Caenorhabditis elegans: one gene and its partners. The protein of the gene in region 4 interacts with the protein of the main gene of each other region in a pairwise test. Each region holds a gene or a part of one and is shown on either strand. Other genes may lie near its edges.

Region 1 (5,133 bases), on a different chromosome or scaffold from region 4:
GAAAAGAAACGGGATGAGCATATGGAGATGACCTTTATTGGGAATAGACACGGAGAACACCTTCTGTTGGGAACGCATTTGTGTGTGCTCTCCCAGACACTCCATAAGGTCAGCTGCATAACCCTAAATTGCATCGACAAATCTTAACAACTGCAACAGAAAAGCTACACTCAAAATATAAGACGGAAATTTTCTTTCAGCACGGCTTAGTTTGGACGAACAATTTGAAAGGAGTGTTCAAATTGCAACTGTTTGGAAACATAATAAAATCATTACGGAATTTATTTTTTTGGAAAATCAAAACAGGTGATAAAAGACGTTTCTGTAAATGAAAGTCACTAGTCTTTTCCACTAATCCGCCAATGTCTTTCATGGAAAATAAGACAAAAAAAAAGACAGCGTTAGAGAGAAATAGACGAAGAGAGCTCAAAGAGCTCGCTGGCTGCCCACGAACCTGCGGGTTAGCAATGGAAAATGTGGTCGTGGGCAGAGAGACGTAGGATAAATGTGGCAACCCAAGGCCATTTGTTGTCGGGCAGTCACCCGCTCTCAAGGACGCTGCAACGACCCAATGCTGTCACTTCAGAACACATCTCGAGGTCACCTGGCACTCAAAGATAGGCTCACATCGTATAGTTTATTCGCTAGTAAATGAGATGAAAAACATTGTACAAAATCAGCGATTGTGGATGTGAGACATGTGATAACTTTAGGCTCAAAAAAGGTTTTAATAATATTTAGGTTTTTTTAGATTTAAATGAAACAGTCGAGATCGGCACGATGTAATAAAAAACAGAACATTTAGTAGTCACTCATTTGTTGCATCTGCTCGATCATTTGCTTCAGATTTTCGATGTACTTGTCCTGATTGACATCATCCACACCATAGACAGTCATCTTCTGACGAACTTCTTCCTATAAAGAAAACAATCATAACGGATCTTCAAGAAATAAAGCTACATTGTACGAATCCATCTTGCAACGAAGTCTCCACATCTTTGGAACAAACTGAAGGCGTTCGAAAATAGCGTTGTACTCATCTGGGCTTTCATCGTGCAATTCTCCAAGCTCCGCAGCTGATTTTCCAACAATCTTCGCAGCACTATCTCCGAAAGCTGTGACATAGACCTGTCCGGTTTCGTCCGAAAGTTCAAACTGCATCATGTACAGCCACTTGAACTTGTTCATGTTCTTATTGCACTTTTCGCATCTGTAGTCACCATTTTCTCCCACAAGTTTCTTTTGGCAACCCTCTGAAGCGCATCCTCTATAAAGAGCATTCGTAGGATTTACTCTGGTAATCATTGCTTTGACAGTTGCGTAATCTCCCTTGTCGGAATCCTTTCCAAATTGCATTTCTTGGAGTCCTGCAATAGTACGTGGAGCTTCATTGGATCCTCCAGCAGCTTGGCTCATCATCTTAACTTCAGTGGTTGGTTTCACGTTTGCGTACCAATCATAGAGTTCAGACACTCCAGCGATTTCTGGCACCGAAATAATACGAGTTGCTGACCCAGTTCCCAAAGAGAATCCTCCATTAAACTCTCTTGGAATAACACCTTTGAATGCGATTACTTTTTGAACATAGTCATCAACAAGTGCTTTTGTTGCTTCGTCTCCCCAAAGTGTCAATCGAACAAGTGCTCCAGACTCGTCAATCAACTCCATTTCTCGCTTGATCAGAGATTTTCCAGCCTTTGAAGTGAATTCGGTAGCCTCTGGATCCATCTTTTCAACCACGACGAGAACGTCAATCAGTTGTCCAGCATATCCAGCGATTTCACCTAGCTTCACTCGTTTGAGTATGAGCTTTGGAGCAGCAAGCAATTCACCTCCAGCTTCAATCTGAAAATTTAATATTTTAGCTATGATGAATCGCTTTAAATTTACTAACGATAGAATCGCTGCGAAGTGTGATCTCGTAGTCGTGTCCAGTATTGTTGAACTTCTTATTTGCTTGTTTGACTGATCCACCAGACAAATAATAAGACTGAAAATATTAAATTAATTATTATGCATAATCCGATTAAAATAATACTAACAAGATTCTCGGTGATTGTGGTGTACAAGGACTCAGCAACCTCGTTGAATGCGGTACATCTGATTGTATCTCCGTTTGAATCGGTTATTTCAAAGTTGAACACTTTCGTGTTTTTCGCTGGGAAAGTACGAATTTCCTCCTTGCGTGATACCATTCCGTGAATTTTGAAATTCGATACGTACGGTGTAACCATTGCAATAGGCATCACGCCTCTTTCTGTGTTCGACGCGGTACGGCGTGCTGGTGGTGGAACAGCTCGAGCGCGTGTAGCCTCTGGAGCAGCGGCACGATTGTATGAGGCTTCTGAAAACTCGAATTACACACATTACAACTCTTAGATTTTACCTTCTCCGAATTCTCTTTTCGGCGCTTTTGCTGCTGGTGGATTTGCCATATTCTCCTGGTAATCAGCAGCCATTCCTTCAGCTTCAGGCCAAACATCTTCGATGATAATATTTGGTCTATAGCCTTTGTGCTCATCAGGTTTGCCAGAATGAGATCTTGGCTTGACTTCTGGAGAGGTCAAAACCTGATGATAGCGAGAAAGAATTTTGTATCCTTTGATCAGGAAGCAATTCTTAGCACCTTCTCTGAAAAATACATTGAAGGACTCAATAATGTTATAATCTCACCCTTGGTCGTAGATTTCAAATTTAGTAAGAGCGATAATTGTTCCCTCAACAAGATGCTCAACTTCACGTTTGATTTGGTCATCGATATCAGCGGACATGAGCGCATCTTCAAAGCATAAATAAATATCAGAGTATAACAAACTCACTTACTGTATTGGAAAACACCGTCTGAGATACGAATTCTGAAAGTGAATGCGTGACCAAGTTGCTCTCCTTGCTCTACTTTGCCTTTCTGAAAATTATCGAATTATTGCGAAACTTTTGAATTAGTCAAAAGTACCAAAACTTGAACGATTCCATCATGTCCAGGATATCCATTGTTTTCGATAGCCTCCTGAAAATTCATCAAAATTAAATTTCCTGGTTTTCTACATTGATTTCTTTACCTGAACATAGCCTGTTGTAAGTCGAAGTTTCCCGTTAGTATGATACTTATTGAAGACATCGTGATTGATGTGAATTGCCGCCATCTTTCACTATCTGAAACAGATACATAAAAATTGGGGAAAAAAGCTTGAAACATGAAGAAACAAATGAAGGGGAGACGATTCAATTTTGAATTCTCTACAGGCCGGATACGCGCCAAAAAAAATGGCGTAGAATGTGATGTTTGCGGGAAATGTGTGCCGAAAAGCGGGAATTTCTGTTAGTCAAAGAAAATCGAGCACAACTTGAATTAAAATATGAGAAAACAAATAAATATTAAAAAAAGGAATTGAGAAGTTTTAAAGATTACAATAATAATTGTTGAAATTTTGATGAAGGTTTTACATCGGCCAAAATCGCATGAATCGAAATTATGGCAGCGCAATATTGGAAGAGGGTTAAAATACTGAACAAAAACATTCTAAAAGTCAATACTTCGTCCAAACATGAAGATTTTCTGCAGGTTCTCAACAAAGCAATTCACATTTGAAAAAGAAAAAAATGAATGGCTCGGACCACCTGCGTAAATCTTGCCGGGTACGGTATTCGCTTCGAGACCTCCATCAAAACCGTAGTTTGGAAATTGTTTTTTCCCGCCGATCTAACTTTTCTATTGACGCGCTAAATTTTGAAATCAGAAAAGTCGCATAAAGAATTCGGATTTTGTTTTATTTTCATTTGTCAGTTTTGATAAATTTTCATTTTATAAATTATGTAAAGTTTCGGCTATATCAGTTACCCACTTCATTTCTACCTAGCTGTTCTTTTCCTTATATGACCTTCTTGAAAGCTTATAAAAGTTTTCGAAAGCTTTTAGACCACTTTCAAACTGCTTAATATCTAACCCCCATTTCGGAAAAAAAACTTCTACATAATTCCAGATGCGCCATCTCCATCTCGCCTTCTTCCTTCCCGCCATCTTTCTGTTCTTCTCGTGTGTAAATGGTGCCATCGAATCGGTACACGACGACAAAGATGTCGTGCCACACGAAGAACAAGGTAAAAAACTAGATTATTGTGTGCTTAAGATTAAAGTTTCACTTCAGCCCTCGACGTCGACACAATTTTCCGCGCTCTTGGAGTTCCATATTGCATGCGAAAGTGCATCGACCCGTTCATCAATTCTACGACGTCTCTGTGGAACATGAAGAATGTTGTACATCAAGCTCGCAAAGTCTGTGGTCATCATGCACAGGCTATCACTTGTCTGAAGAAAGAACAGTACTGTGATCACAACAAGCTCTTCGCAAAAGCCAGCAGCAGTGTTGAATATATGTGTGCCACAAAGCACGTTCTGTTTGAGCGAATGGAGTCGTGTCTCAACCCTGTCGTTGATGATATCATGTCAGGTAATTTTTTTTCTGAAAAATTGCCCACCATCAAAAAATCGTTTTCAGGCTGCGACAAAGAATGCTATGCTCGTTCAAACCTAACTGCTTTCGCTCAAGATTCTAACATTAAATTCGCTGCTACAGTTGGAGGTAATGTATTTATTGTTGCTGATCATCTTGGAGAACTTTGTAACTCTCTGCAATGTACTCTCCCATGTGTCACCAAGCGACTCAACAGCAAGTGTGCCTTGAGTGGATGGCTTAGTCTGGACATGCTTATGCAACCATTCGATGCCGTTTCTGTAATGGTTGATCAATTGTCACCAGCATTGAGGTTAGTTAGTGCGATCATTATTAAATATGCTATGTAACTAAACATTTCAGGGATGTCATCAGTAAGAAAATCGATAAAAGATGCCGTTTTGCAATTAACCCAACTCGTCTCAACCGCATTCGCAACGGCGATTTCAAGGCTTTTAACATGGATAACATTTGATCGCATCTCATTTCATGATTCCAGTACTCACTAAAACCCACGAATTGTAAATAATCACCCGACACAAATATGTTGATATATCGAATAAATAGTTGTAAACTGTAAACCGCTTTCAATAATCATTTTCTCAAACGCGGATGAAAGCCGAAAAAAATTCTCGTGACATTTTGTACAACTATCGAAGCTGAAATGGCCGAAATATCTGAA
Region 2 (4,733 bases), on a different chromosome or scaffold from region 4:
GCTAATAAAAATGAGCATTTTGCGATGAAATATATATGTATGGTTTTCATAAATTTTAGTTTTCTGTAACTTTGTCAATAACCAGGACTATGCAATTGCCGCGCACCCTAAACTTACAGCTTTCTTGAAAATCATTTCAAAATCTTCTATTTTCAGATTAATTGTGCGAAAAGTGTCTCGAAAAATGAGAGAAGTTATTGACACTCACAACCCTGGCTTCAAAACTCTAGGATTTTTTGTGAAAAAGAATTACACATCATTGCTCGTGGATAACATGGAAATCAAATATAGCAGCGTGGGACGTGATTGTGTCCTGAAGTATGGACAGAAGACAAAAACAATTATTGGTGCAAAATCTGTTGATGTGGCTTTCAATGACTTTGGAATTATCATGAAGAATCCGGCACTTCGCTTGGAAAAATTTCCGATTCAGCTTTCTGTTGATGTTGAGCAAACTGGGACTTATTTTTCAACTCTTCTTGATGTTTTGAAATCCTCCATGTCTTGCCTACACGTTAAAAAGTTTCATGGGACAGATTTCTCCGAGGAGCAGCTTCTATTAGTGATCCCTTTCCTAAAAGCTGGATATCTTGAAAAAATTGAGCTGCTTTCCAATGAGCCCACAGATCTCGAGAAAATCGCTAAACTTGAGCAATGGAAAAGAGCACAAGTTTTTGATTCGTTCTGGAAGAGTTATAAGGTTTCTGTCGAGGATATGCTCCATTTCAGAGAGTTCTATGTAATTGTACCTTGCTTTTCAAAAGAGGATGCAGTAAAACTGAGAGATGTAAGTTTAAATAAAAAATCGAAAAAAAATCCAAGTATTATTTTCAGTTGCTCACAAAATCAGTGGACTTCGAGAACGGGTGCTTCAAGTTCCCCGAAACCAACATTATCGAAATAGTGAGAGTTTTCATTCTGGACTACGAAGGAGAAGAACGGGCCAAAATTGATTATAACGAGAATGGCACAGATTTTATCTTGGACTTTAGCACAGAACACTTTCGATTGACAAAAAAGAAGATTGTGGACAGTGACTGAAATTAAATTTTAAAAAATATGATTTTTTTTAAAAGTTTTTGTATTGAATAAATTTGAGACAGACCGACGGCTCGAATTTCAGGTCAAAAGTAGAATTTTGCAGTTTGCATAATTTCAGTTTTTGATCACCCCATTCAGTAGGGAGCCATAAAAAATGGAATGATGATTAATATGCTCTTCTGAAAAATTAGACTTGTGTAAACACAGTGACGGATAACGACGTACGATTCGATAAAAAGGAATAGCTGCGGGAAATGGTGAGCACATGTGTAGGCTAGGAAGCAGTAGGCATTTTTTAGATGTGTTTGGTGCGGTTCAGTCAATTTTTTGCTGGGCTTTTGTGCTTCACATTGAGAGCGTTTTGATATTTTTGACTAGAAACTGAATGTGAGAAAATACTTGTTTCCGAGTATACTAGATGCTATACATAGGTTTTACAGTTTTATATCTTTATTGCATTTAACTGAAAATGACCAAAATCTGAAAAGTACGTAATTGGAAAATGTATGTCAAATTTCAGAATTTAATTAAATATACAACTGAATCGAAATCTGAATATTCTGAAATTTTCAATGAAGATCTCAGTTTTTTTTCCACCATCTTTTGCGCTAGGTTAGCTTAAAGACATTTTTCGTTTAAAATGAAAAAGTATTTAAATGAAAAATGACATATATTACGAAAATTTCCGCTTTCAGAAAATGTGATATCATATATTTCCAGCGGACAATTTCCGCATTTCTATGACTCAACAATTTATAGTCCAAATTTTATTTCAATTCGATCATTCCCTAGTGAATGTTTGCTTCTGATTGATTTCAACTTTAAATACACAAGTGATCTGAAGTATGGTATATCTGCAAAAAATTTTAGAGAGATTGCTGCTCAACTTTTGGCACCTTTTCTCTCGTTTCTCTAACTGTCACTTTATCCTTCTTGTACTAAGCCGGCTGCCTCCAACAGGTCAAGTGGGAGGAGTCGTGATTAGAAGTTGAGCAGTAACCAAATTATTTTTATGCTATTATTGTAGATACTGACAGGATATTCTCAACTTACTCAACGAGAGAATATTTAACAAAAAAAGATGAGCAGCCAAAATGCGAAGTCAATCGGTGGCATTTTGGAAACTTCAACAGGTATGCCCCAATTTATGGGATCGAAAAATTTTTTCATGCTTTAACTAGATAATTACTCAACTCACCGAAATGTATAAATGAAAGCATTTGGTAAAATATATCAGAAAATTTTTAGAAGTCGAAAACAAACTTGCAACGTTGTTTTCTAGATTTTGGAATTTTTTTGACATTTTCGAACAGATTGATAGCAATTTTTGTACTATACTTGTTGACATCTCAAAAATGTATTCTATGTTTCCATTATTTAGATCCCAGTTACGTTATAACCTGACAGAGGTTTGCGGGCGGTAAGTAGAAAAACCAGAAGCTTACAAAACTTGACCGCACTTATCAGCTTCTCAATTTACTTAGTTCAAAAGTTTTATGACAGAAGATTTACAATCTTTCACGCATATCTATAACTTTCAGTGCCTCTGGTCATCCAACCGCAGATTGTAAATGACCCCGCGCAAAACAACATAACTCTTCCAATCACGCTTTGTGCAGTTTGTGGGGACACTTCTAACGGAAATCATTACGGTTGGAAAGAAGATTTAGAAACTAGATAACAATGAATTTTAGGTGTGCCAACCTGTTTCGGATGCAGTGGGTTCTTCAGAAGAACCGTTAGAAACAAGTTGGTACATGGATGTTGGAATGGAGACGGAAACTGTGTGATTGATAAAGCGAACCGGAACAGGTGCAAGTCCTGTCGAATTAAAAAGTGCTTCAAGAAGGGGATGAATAAGAATGGTAAGCTGCTTCTCTGAGTTTGGGCTTCAGATCATTAACTTTGTGTTTGCACCATATAGTGCGGTAGGTATTTTTCAGTGGCCGACATTTTTTTGAGTTTCGCGCCGCACCATATTAACAAAGGCCTGAGGCCGGCAGAAGCCTCCTGAAGCCGGCGAAGGCGACACAGTTTCGTCTCTAAATAATTATTTTCCAGCTGTGCAACCCGAGAGAACTTCCCATAGCTACACTGTAGAGTATGTCGAGTTGCCCTCATTCCGAGAGTATTCCAAGGGACTTCTGCCTACTCACTCTGATCGTCTCAGATTCCAACACGAACATGCTCAACATGAAATTGTTAGTTAATCAGGAGACAAACTATCAACCTGAGACACCACAAATTTAATTTCAGGACACAAGCTCCGTGCTAGTTCATCTGAAAAACGCACTCCAGTGGGTGCAACAGTTTTCGCTCTTCGCAGTGCTTTCCGATGTTGAAAAGGTCTAAATGCCAAACATAAAAGTCATTAAAAAAATTTCCAGAGCCAGATCATACTGACCCAGTGGCCACATCTTTTGTGCCTCGCGTTGTTCGAAAACTCCGAAAAAATCTTCATCGATGAAAAATTTGCACAACTGGCTGAGAAATTCAAATCCCTCGAACTTTCGGCGCAGGATTATTTCCTCTTGAAGGGAATTATTATTTTCACGGAAAGTAAGTTTAACTAGAAAAGCTGCTGAGCTTTCAGAAACTAAAATTTCAGCCAAAGATGGCACTGATCTCAAATTCGATCGCCAACTTGATATCTGTATCGGCCTTCTCAATCAGTTGCACCTGGAGTCTTCAAAGTCCAAATCTGGAAGGCTTCTATTTCTCCTCGGCGAGCTTAAATCCTATTCTACTAGACAGCTTGAATCTCTCCTGGATCTTAAAGCTTGTGAGATTGTGATTAGTTTTCTTTAAATTTTGACTATTTTTCTGATGCTGTTATATGCACACATTACCCCCATTTTGCTCACTAGTAGTGCTCAGCTTAAGCTTAGACTTAGGCTTACGGTTAAGCTTAGGCTAAGGCTTAGGCCTTGGCATAGGTCCTGGCTTAGAGATTTTCATTTAATTTGCAACTGTTTCCTCAAAAACAATGTTCAAACCCAAATTTCTTTCCTATTTTTTCTCCAGATTCCCCCAAGGCAACCAAATTTTTTAAACAATTTTCTTCTCGATCAGTTGAAATACTTCCAAAAACGTTACAACGATTTTGAACAGTTTTTTTACAAGTCAAAACAGTAGTTGGCTGCAAATTTGGCCGCCAAAGTTTTTTTTTTTTGCAAATGGTAAATTCATACACAATGAACAAACTACACAATATACAGACGTTATACATTTATTTAAATTATATTTTTTGTTGGAAGCAATGTAAAGCGTACTTGACAGACAAAGTTTTTTTTTGTTTAAAATAATTTTTGATTTTGTTTTAAGTGACATAAAAGAGGTATGTAAACCGAATCAGATAAAGTTCAAGTTAATTATGTTTACCAGGGAGCTTAATCCTCGCACCAAGCGTTTTCCTTCTTCATGGCCTCCCGTTCCTCCTCGGAAAAATCGTTCTCAATGTTGAAGAGGGTTCGGATTTGGCTTGGAGTTTTACCCTTCATCATGTTAGCCACATTCTGGGTGGTCACGTCCAAAAGCCCACGGATGTCGAGGTAGTTGGCGGCCTGAAAAAGAAATCGGTTTAATGTTCAATTCTGGAGAATAGCTTATAAAACTTTAATATTTACCAAGATAATTTCGAACAAGGTTCCCTGATCGACTTTCATGAATTCGGCGTCCCATTCACTAATGTC
Region 3 (4,882 bases), on a different chromosome or scaffold from region 4:
ATCGGCAAACCGGCAATTTTTTTCCGAAAGGCAACTGCTGCCCACCCCCGTTTCTGTAACACTGTGATATATCAAAAATTTATTTTTTTAAAAGTAAATTTTAAAAAAAATTACTCTCCCTCAGATCCCAATGATCGTCGTCGGAGGATGGATCAATTGGACATTCTCCGGATTCGTGACCACCCGAGTTCCATTCCCACTGACTCTCAAATTCAAAGCGATGCTTCAAAGAGGAGTTGATCTCGTTTCCCTTGATTCTGCCTGGGTCTCCTCAGCTTCCTGGTACTTCCTTTGTATGTTCGGCCTTCGATCAATCTACACACTTGTTCTCGGAAGTGAAAATGCTGCTGATCAGAGTAAAGCGATGGAAGATCAAATGGCAATGACTGGCTCTGCAGTGAATCCACAAGCCGATCCACGTGCCGCATTCAAAGGAGAATGGGAGGCTCTTCAAATGATCCAACATCAATTTGCTCTCTAAACGTGTACTTTCCAAACATTTGTGTTTCACTGATTTATTTATTTGACATTCGATTTGTTTTTTTTTCCAATATAATATAAAAGTTATAAATAAGTAATACATTTAATAGCTTTGAGTTTTAGATTTTTAAATTGTTAGTTAAATATAATTGTATAATCAATCATCATCCTCAGATTCGTTATCAGAATCACTTGCATATCCACCAGCCATCAAGTCAATGTGTTGTCTGTAAAAATATTGAATTTTAAATTTAAAAAGATTCAGCGAAATTAGTACCCTCTCAAGAATTTGGTCAACTTTTTGCAATCATAATCCTGTCCCAGTATTGCGGAGATTTTCACGAAATTTCCAATGAGATTTCCGTTCGAATAGAATTGAAGGCACGGCACACCGTTCGTTCTCTGAAAAATAAAAAAATATTGGCCAGACTCGAAAATTTGTGCTAAAAATAAAAATACGGTACCAGGTCTCGACGCGACAAAATTTTTTTTGTCGTCTGCGCCTTTAAAGATTGTGGTAACTTCAAATGTTCGTTTCTCCGAAATTTTTATAGATTTTGCATATATCTATAGGTTTTTTTTCACGAGTTTTCAAAATTGAATGTGGTTTTATTGTTATATTTGAATTTTTCAGAAACAATATACGCACGTGGTGCCAGGCTGTCCCATTACGGTTTGATCTACAGAAAATGCGGGAATTTTTTGCCCAAAAAAATGTGACGGCAGCACGTTCTTAACCATGCGAAATCAGTTGAGAACTCTGCGTCTTTTCTCCCGCATTTTTGTAGATCTACGTAGATCAAGCCGAAATGAGAAACTCTCACATCACGTGTATAGTGCTTTCGAAAAAAAATTTAAAACTTTTGAAAATTCGGAAGTTTGAAACTACAGTACTCTTCAAAGGCGCAAGACCTTTTCGCATTTAACTAAAAATTTGTCGTGTCGGGACCCTGAAACGTATTACATACAAATGCTCTGCTCATTTCAAGAAGAGTGCTTGTCGCTCGAACGAATTTGGTTTTCGGACAATCGGCGGCGAGAATCTTAACGATTCGTGTCAAATATTCACATTCATCGGATTCAGGCTCATATATTAGAACACAGAGAAGATATGATGAACTTCCATCAACGGCATCCGAATATTGTTTCTGAAATTTCTTGGAGCATTTTTGAAGGATGTTTGAAATCGATAAAATGAAGAAGAAAAGCTAATTTTTTTTGGAAAATTGAATAATTTTAGTTTTCATTATTTATCATTTTCCGTTAAAAAATCGTTTTTTATTTATTTTTAGTCGAAATTTAAAAAAAAATCAAAATTTCTATTATTTTGCAATTTTTTTTTCTCGAAAAACGGAAACCTGATTTTTTTTAAATTTTCGAGAAAAAATCGAAAAAGTTTCGATATATCCTTTTTTGATTTTTTTAAGAAAAGAAAGCAACTTTTTTAATTCGAAAAATGCCGATATTTGAATTTTTAACGACAACGGGGCGATGTCGAGAAATTAGAAAAAATTATTATTTTATTAAAAATAAAATTGATTTTTTAAAAATAAAATCAAAATATTAATTTCTCGACGTCATTGTGGAAAAAAATTGAAAAATAACGAAATTTTTCGAATTAAAAAAAAATAAATTTCCGACTAAAAATTGTAAAAATAATTTTAAAAGTTTTTTTCTAAAAAATCAAAAAAGGAAATATCGAAACTTTTAGAAATTTTGATTTTTTGAAATTTCGACAAGTTTTTAAATGTTTCTAGAAAAAGATTGAGAGACTTTTGAATTTTCTAGAAAAAAAATCGAAAATCTTTGGTATTTTTTTTTTCGAAATTAATTTTTTACTCGGAAAGTGAAAAAAAAATTTTTTTTCCAGTTTTCTGGTAATTTTTGCCAATTTTTCTTATTCATTTTGGAGAAATTTTCTTTTTTTCCCATATTTTCTAAAAAGTTTTCAAAAGTTTTCACAATAAAAAAAAAAAAGTATTTTTTGATTGTTCCTATACCTTATCAGTCATTTCAATAACCCGATTTGCTGCAATTTTTCTCATTTCTCTAAGTCTCTTCGCTTTTAATCCCTCCAAAGTCATCTCAAAATCCTCATCTTCATCATCTTCTCGTTGTGCTTTTTCTCGTTCTTCTTTCGATCCAATCATCATTCCTTTCTTCGCTTGCTCAATTAATTTCTGATTTTTTGATTCGACAGCTCTGAAAATTTACAAAATTTTTTTTTTAATTTTTAAGAATTTTTTAAATAGTCTCACAATCTAGTCTGTTCTCTGAACGCTTTGAACTCATTGAGCACTCCTTTTGCTCCAGTATTCGAAGATGGTCCCATTCTCTTCATTACATTCGCCTGATGCTCATCCTCATCGTTTACAACTTTGAAATCGTCCTCTTCACCTTCTGAGCTGCTACAGTAACCCGCAGGCTTTCCGTCCAGAATTCGTGATTCCAAATTCATTAGAGTTTTCTGAAAAAATATTTTTTTAAATTTATATTTCTGATCTTTTTCGAAAAAAAAAAAAGAAATTTTGATTTAATTTTTCTTCAGAAAAATCATGAGAAATTTGAAACTACTGGTGAGAAAATTTCTTTAAAAAAGTTTCTTCTCAAGCATTTTATTAATTAAAATTTTTTGTAAAATTTCCTGATAGTTTCGTAAGGAACTTTTTTTAAAATTAGAGAAATATCACACAAATTAAAGGTAATAAATTTGGCAGAATTGCCAAAATCTGAAAAAAATATATACCAAAAAAAAGTTTTTTTTTAAATTTTTCAAATTAATCAAAATTTAAAAAACAATTAAAAATCGGTCGTTTTATATAATTTTTAAATTCCTATTTTTACCTTTTTCAACGTTTTTCAGACTTTTCTATAAATTAATTGTTTTTTCTTTGGAAAATATATGAGAAATTTGATACTTTTTTCAAATATTTTTGCAAATTTTTAAAATATTTATCAAAAAAATTCAAAAATTACTGGGAATTTTCCAATTTCTCATTAAAATGCAATTTGTTTTTGGATCAGAATATCAAATAATTCAAATAAGGTAATAAATTTGGCAAAATGACCAAAATCTGGAAAAAAATCCAATAAAAAAATAAAAAAAAAGATTTATTCTATCTAGAAGTGTCTAGTTAAATACAGAAAATGTACTGAAATTCCAGTAAAACCCGGAAAAAAGGGTGAAAGAAAACTCGATAATTTATGGCATTTTCTAATTGCATTTCTTCAATTTCGTGAGAAATTTCTCAAAAGTTGTGAACTTTTCTCGAATCTTTCCAGATAGCTTTCCAGTGTCTTGTTCTTGTCTATCAATTTGTTTCCATTCATCCCATGATATAAATGGAACTTTTCGATCTTCAAGTAATTCTTCAACTCCATTAGATGTGCTATCTTTAAATTGTGCAAAGTCTGCGGCAATTTGATCGGCAACAAAAATTGATTGTTGTTGAGTGTCTACAATTATTCCATGTGGTCCATGAGCACACCATCCAGTTGCATACACTTGTGATGAACACGCAGCAACCATATTTACACGGCAATGATCTTTCATGTCTATCATTTTCTGAAATAAAAAAAATATATTTGCAGAGATTTTATGATTTTTTTTTGAATCCGGGAATTATGGGTCATAATAGTTTTCCAGATAATTTAAACCAATTTAAATTTCCGACAAACCGGCAAATCGACGAAGATTAACAATTCCGGCAAATCGGCACATTGCCGGAATTGAAAAATTCCAGGAAACCGGCAATTTGCCAAAAATTTTCTGGCAAATCAGCAAATCTCCGGAATTTAAAATTTTCGGAAATCGGCAAACCGGCAAATTGCCGGAAATTTTTATTTTCGACAAATCGCCGAAAATGAAAATTTCCGGCAAAGTGGCAATTTGCCGAAAATAAAAATTTCCGGCAAATCGGAAAACCGGCAAACGGTCTTAATTGAACAGTTCCGGCAAATCGGAAATATGCCGAAAATGAAAATTTCCGGCAAATCGGTGAATTGCCGGAATCGGAAAATTCGGGCAAATCGGCAAATTAGCGAAAATGACCGATTCCGGCAAACCGGCGAATTGCCGGAATTGGAAAATTCTGACAAACCGGCGAATTAGAGAAAATTAACAATTCCGGCAAATCGGAACATTGCCGGAATTGTCAAATTCCGGCAAACCGGCAAATTGCAAATTTTCGGCAAATCGGCAAACCGGCAAATAGCAGGAATTGAAAATTTCCAGCAAATCAGTAATCTGCCGGAATTAAAAATTTCCGGCAAATCGGCAAAAGGTAATTTGACGAAATTGAAAATTTCCGGCAAATCGGCAATTTGCCGAAGATTAATATTTCTGGCAAATTGAAAAATCGGCAAATCGTCAAATTGCCGGAATTGAAAATTTCCGGCAAAT
Region 4 (3,726 bases):
ATTTCTTCAGGATACCGTCTCTCTCCACAATTCTACAACATCCTTATGCACAAATTCGACAGATCCCACAGTAATCGAATCAATTTCGACGATTTTATCCAACTTTGCGTCGTTCTTCAGACCCTCACTGCTGCCTTCAGGTTAGAAATCAGGGCTAAAATTGATTTAGAAATTTAGAGAAAAGCTCTTTTAAAAAATTCAAAATTTTTCAACAAAATTAAATATTACTTTAAAAATATTTTTAGATGGAACTAACTATTTTCTATGTTTCTATAGTAATTTTTGACCAAAAAATTTGGAGTATCATACTTTACAATCTGATTACTTAATTTTCAGAGACGTCGACACGGACCGCGATGGAGTCATCACCGTCGGCTACGAGCAGTTCCTGACAATGGTCTTTTCATTGAAAATGTGATTTTAAGAGTATTTAGAGAACCAACCACAATCCATTTTCGACCTAACACCTAGCACTTCTACTAGCTTCCATTCGAAAAAAAGTTAAATTCAATTTCGTTTTGTTTTCAGGTAGCTCGAAGTGTGTTCAATCGTCTGGGTTAATAATGTGATTTGCCGTTCCTCATGCTCTCTTTCCTCCTCGGATTCTTCGCATCATTAGCGTCTAATTAATTATGTTCAAATTTACTAATAAACGCTTTTAAAGTATGAATCATTCATAGTTTCGAGTATCAAAAGTGAATTTCCCAGTGGGATGAAAGAAGGATAATGAAAATAATGTTACAATCAGCAGTTAAATAGCGGAAACAGTTTCCTCGTCGACAGTGGTGTAGACCAATCCGTTCTCGACCATCTCACCGACGCACTTACGAACAATAGAAATGTTCGTTTCTTGAATTTGCTCAGCTATCCACGAAACATGTCGACCTTCGTCACGAGAACCCTCTGGCACAGCCATCAAGACGGCGGTAATGCGCTCTCTGAGCACATCTCCTTGGTTCGCTCCCGTCATCACTTTTTGCGGTTGAGCATACAATCTCTCCTTGGTGTCCGATCCTTGCGAGCTTTGATGCGATGTTTGTGACATTCTGCTCTTCGGTGGTGCCAGCATTCCTTGGAAGCCATCCGAGTCGACCGACTTCAGTTTCTCGCTCACGTTCTTTTGGAAGAACAGACGTGCAGCTTCTGCCTCGAGCTCGAAGATCGTGAAATCCTTGTCGTCTTCAACTGGAGTGATGTTGAACAGCATAATGGCTGAAATTATTTGAATTAAGATATATAATTGAAGGAAATATAAACTTACTATTGTTTCCATCGAATCCCTTGAGCTTTCCGATGGCTCGAACACGAGTTCCCTCGACAATTGAAGAATGATCGAATGTCGAACCCTCATTGTCATACTTGAGCGTACGATATTCCATCTCCGTGTTGTTTGGATCACAGAGGTCGTACGTGTACGTTGTCCCATCCTGACTGATATCCTTCACAATACCGACGGTCAACACCGTTGCGAATCGGAAAGTCCCGACGACATACTTGTCATCCTGCGCAGAAAAGTGCTCGATCAGATTGGAAATCGTGACCGGCACTGGGAGCCTCTCGCCGAGAGTTGTAGCCTTCGAGTCCTGTAAAAAATATTTATTTGAAAGTATGATTTATCTCTTATTCTTACAGGCTTTCTGTCGGTCATAAACGACGACTCTCCAGCGGCCCATCCGTTTCCTGCGTTCTCGTGCTCGACAGTCTCGTTCCACATGGTTAGTAGTTTCTGGAAAGATGAAAATAGATTAGAAATGCGAGAAAAATGAAGGAAAGAAAGGGAAGGTGAATAATTAGCGTTTATCAACAGATTCCAGAGAGACAAGATGTGTTACATATTTTAGAAACACTGAAACATAAATTTTAACTTTTTAACAGAAAAATTTAGTAAAAAACTGATATGATGTCGAAAATGGAGCTAAAATTATGCAATACTTAGTTTGAACGGCCAATTTCGCGCGTTTCTATAGAGCGCGCTTACTTCACTAGGTTTCAAAACAAAATATTCCGCGAACACAGGGAAAACCATTAAAAAGAAAAATAAATCATAAAGAATTATTTACTCAGGAATTCAGTGTACATGTATTTTTGGATAATGTGAAAAATCTGAAAGTGAAGGCCAGAAAATTTATATGAATCTAACACTAAAGCACTGGCAAGATGAAAATATAAGCGCAGGAAGTCTTAATATCACAAAAAGACAAGCAACGATAAAGTGAATGAACTAAATTTTATGAAAAAAGAAGAAAAATGAGAGTGACAGCTCACTTTTATAGTCCTTGCGTAGGAGAATCACGTGTATTCAGCTCGACCCACGGCCCGGCGGGGGGTACATGGACGAGGATTCTCTACCGTATTCCAATTTGGCTGACTGCGTGCTCAACGTTGAATACTCAGTGTAAACTTTCGTACACCGTTGCGTACTGCACAGCGCGCATTTTAATTGACGACATTTCGCGAAAATTAACAGAAGATTTTTTTCGGAATTATAGAGCTAAAATTGAAAAAACTATCAGATTTTCATCGAATTTGTGAAGAATCGTAAGTATGAAGATTTGTTCTTCACGATATTCAAGGAAAATCGATATTTGGTTTTTCACAGACAAATTCTATCGCATTTCACTCGACGAGACCCGAAGAACTCGGGGGATGTCCAACTGGGGGGATTCCCAACTCGGGGGATTGGCCACGCCCACAGAACCGTGCCTTACAATACGCCCATTTCTGCAACCTCCGCACGGTTTTGAATGATGATTTTCTTCATTGTTTTTTGGGGGAGAAAAATCAATTTCGACTCTAAAAACTTCAATTTGAATTGTTTTTCTTCGTTTTTTCAGCCATTTTCGCAAAAAAAAGTATTTTTCAACCGTGACTTGTTAATTCGCCCTCCTTAATTCGTGTATTCCTTTTGTTAATCTCTTTCCCTCTCATATTTTATTAATTTTTTTAATTTCTAGACTTCGTCGAATCGAGGGACCATCAAAATTGCACGGATGAAACAAGGATGTGCTTCTCCAGTCCACCTACGTGAGTATTATATTCTCAAATTGTAGAAAGTAGGAAAAAAAATTGATTTAAGAACAAAAATTGAAATAGTTTAACAAAAAATTAATGAAATATCTTCGGATCGAACATAGATGGACTTATACAGGCATTGAAATCGTTGAAACAGCTATAATTTGCTGTCACTGCTCTTTTGAAGTCGGAATTTCTGTATAGTGGCGGGCGATCAGTTCTTCTTCGCAATAACCATGTTCTTTTCGATTGTACGTCTCTGTGAACGTTAAAACTCCAAACCGTAGACTTCTCAATTGAATTGTGTAGAATTTTGTAATTGGTATGGTGGAAAAGACGCTAGAAATTTGATTTTTGTTCACTTTTCCGTATCCATTAAGAGAAAAGTGTACCTGTAGCATTCATTTAAGCCAAAGGCCTCTAAAAACTAAGCGAATCTGATAATAGACGAGATAAAATCTTTTTTCATTTATATATCAGCGATGTCATTATGAAAGTTCTAATTTAAATTTTTCAGATCCGCCCGAGCTGCTCATCCTCCAAATTCTTCCGTTTTCATGACAAATTATTGTTTTTTTTGTTGAAATTATGTAATTCATTAAATGTAATATTATCCTTATCTGTAAATAATTATCATGATCAATAAAATATCGCTCTTAATGTTCAATGAATAGCTTGCAAACCAATTTGTACAATTATTTCATTGAACAATTT

The links.
Region 1: the proteins of rpa-2 (region 4) and rpa-1 interact in a two-hybrid assay, tested with the Caenorhabditis elegans proteins (3 studies listed by BioGRID).
Region 2: the proteins of rpa-2 (region 4) and nhr-111 interact in a two-hybrid assay, tested with the Caenorhabditis elegans proteins (2 studies listed by BioGRID).
Region 3: the proteins of rpa-2 (region 4) and mau-8 interact in a two-hybrid assay, tested with the Caenorhabditis elegans proteins (2 studies listed by BioGRID).

Annotation. Positions count from the first base shown.
Region 1 is NC_003280.10:7,662,602-7,667,734, reverse strand, and holds rpa-1 (putative replication factor A 73 kDa subunit), read right to left. Parts: upstream 3,154-5,133; 5' UTR 3,144-3,153; coding exon 3,060-3,143; intron 3,008-3,059; coding exon 2,954-3,007; intron 2,906-2,953; coding exon 2,824-2,905; intron 2,780-2,823; coding exon 2,674-2,779; intron 2,632-2,673; coding exon 2,387-2,631; intron 2,345-2,386; coding exon 2,043-2,344; intron 1,991-2,042; coding exon 1,895-1,990; intron 1,846-1,894; coding exon 961-1,845; intron 916-960; coding exon 802-915; 3' UTR 625-801; downstream 1-624. Other genes in the region: F18A1.7 (Chondroitin proteoglycan 4 domain-containing protein), read left to right, coding at 3,981-4,098, 4,146-4,448, 4,497-4,764, 4,815-4,926. UniProt on the Caenorhabditis elegans protein: As part of the heterotrimeric replication protein A complex (RPA/RP-A), binds and stabilizes single-stranded DNA intermediates, that form during DNA replication or upon DNA stress.
Region 2 is NC_003283.11:16,122,171-16,126,903, reverse strand, and holds nhr-111 (Nuclear hormone receptor family member nhr-111), read left to right. Parts: upstream 1-2,064; 5' UTR 2,065-2,122; coding exon 2,123-2,174; intron 2,175-2,582; coding exon 2,583-2,693; intron 2,694-2,735; coding exon 2,736-2,906; intron 2,907-3,102; coding exon 3,103-3,242; intron 3,243-3,297; coding exon 3,298-3,387; intron 3,388-3,428; coding exon 3,429-3,600; intron 3,601-3,649; coding exon 3,650-3,849; 3' UTR 3,850-4,009; downstream 4,010-4,733. Other genes in the region: fbxa-143 (F-box domain-containing protein), read left to right, coding at 157-787, 835-1,041; skr-3 (Skp1-related protein), read right to left, coding at 4,431-4,604, 4,668-4,733. UniProt on the Caenorhabditis elegans protein: Orphan nuclear receptor.
Region 3 is NC_003282.8:13,376,081-13,380,962, reverse strand, and holds mau-8 (Phosducin domain-containing protein), read right to left. Parts: upstream 2,948-4,882; 5' UTR 2,939-2,947; coding exon 2,739-2,938; intron 2,683-2,738; coding exon 2,481-2,682; intron 1,629-2,480; coding exon 1,449-1,628; intron 883-1,448; coding exon 758-882; intron 708-757; coding exon 638-707; 3' UTR 501-637; downstream 1-500. Other genes in the region: emc-3 (ER membrane protein complex subunit 3), read left to right, coding at 125-481; Y62E10A.6 (NADPH:adrenodoxin oxidoreductase, mitochondrial), read right to left, coding at 3,695-4,045.
Region 4 is NC_003279.8:4,768,292-4,772,017, reverse strand, and holds rpa-2 (Replication protein A C-terminal domain-containing protein), read right to left. Parts: upstream 1,727-3,726; 5' UTR 1,715-1,726; coding exon 1,631-1,714; intron 1,584-1,630; coding exon 1,262-1,583; intron 1,213-1,261; coding exon 752-1,212; 3' UTR 660-751; downstream 1-659. Other genes in the region: M04F3.4 (EF-hand domain-containing protein), read left to right, coding at 11-140, 337-414, 529-532.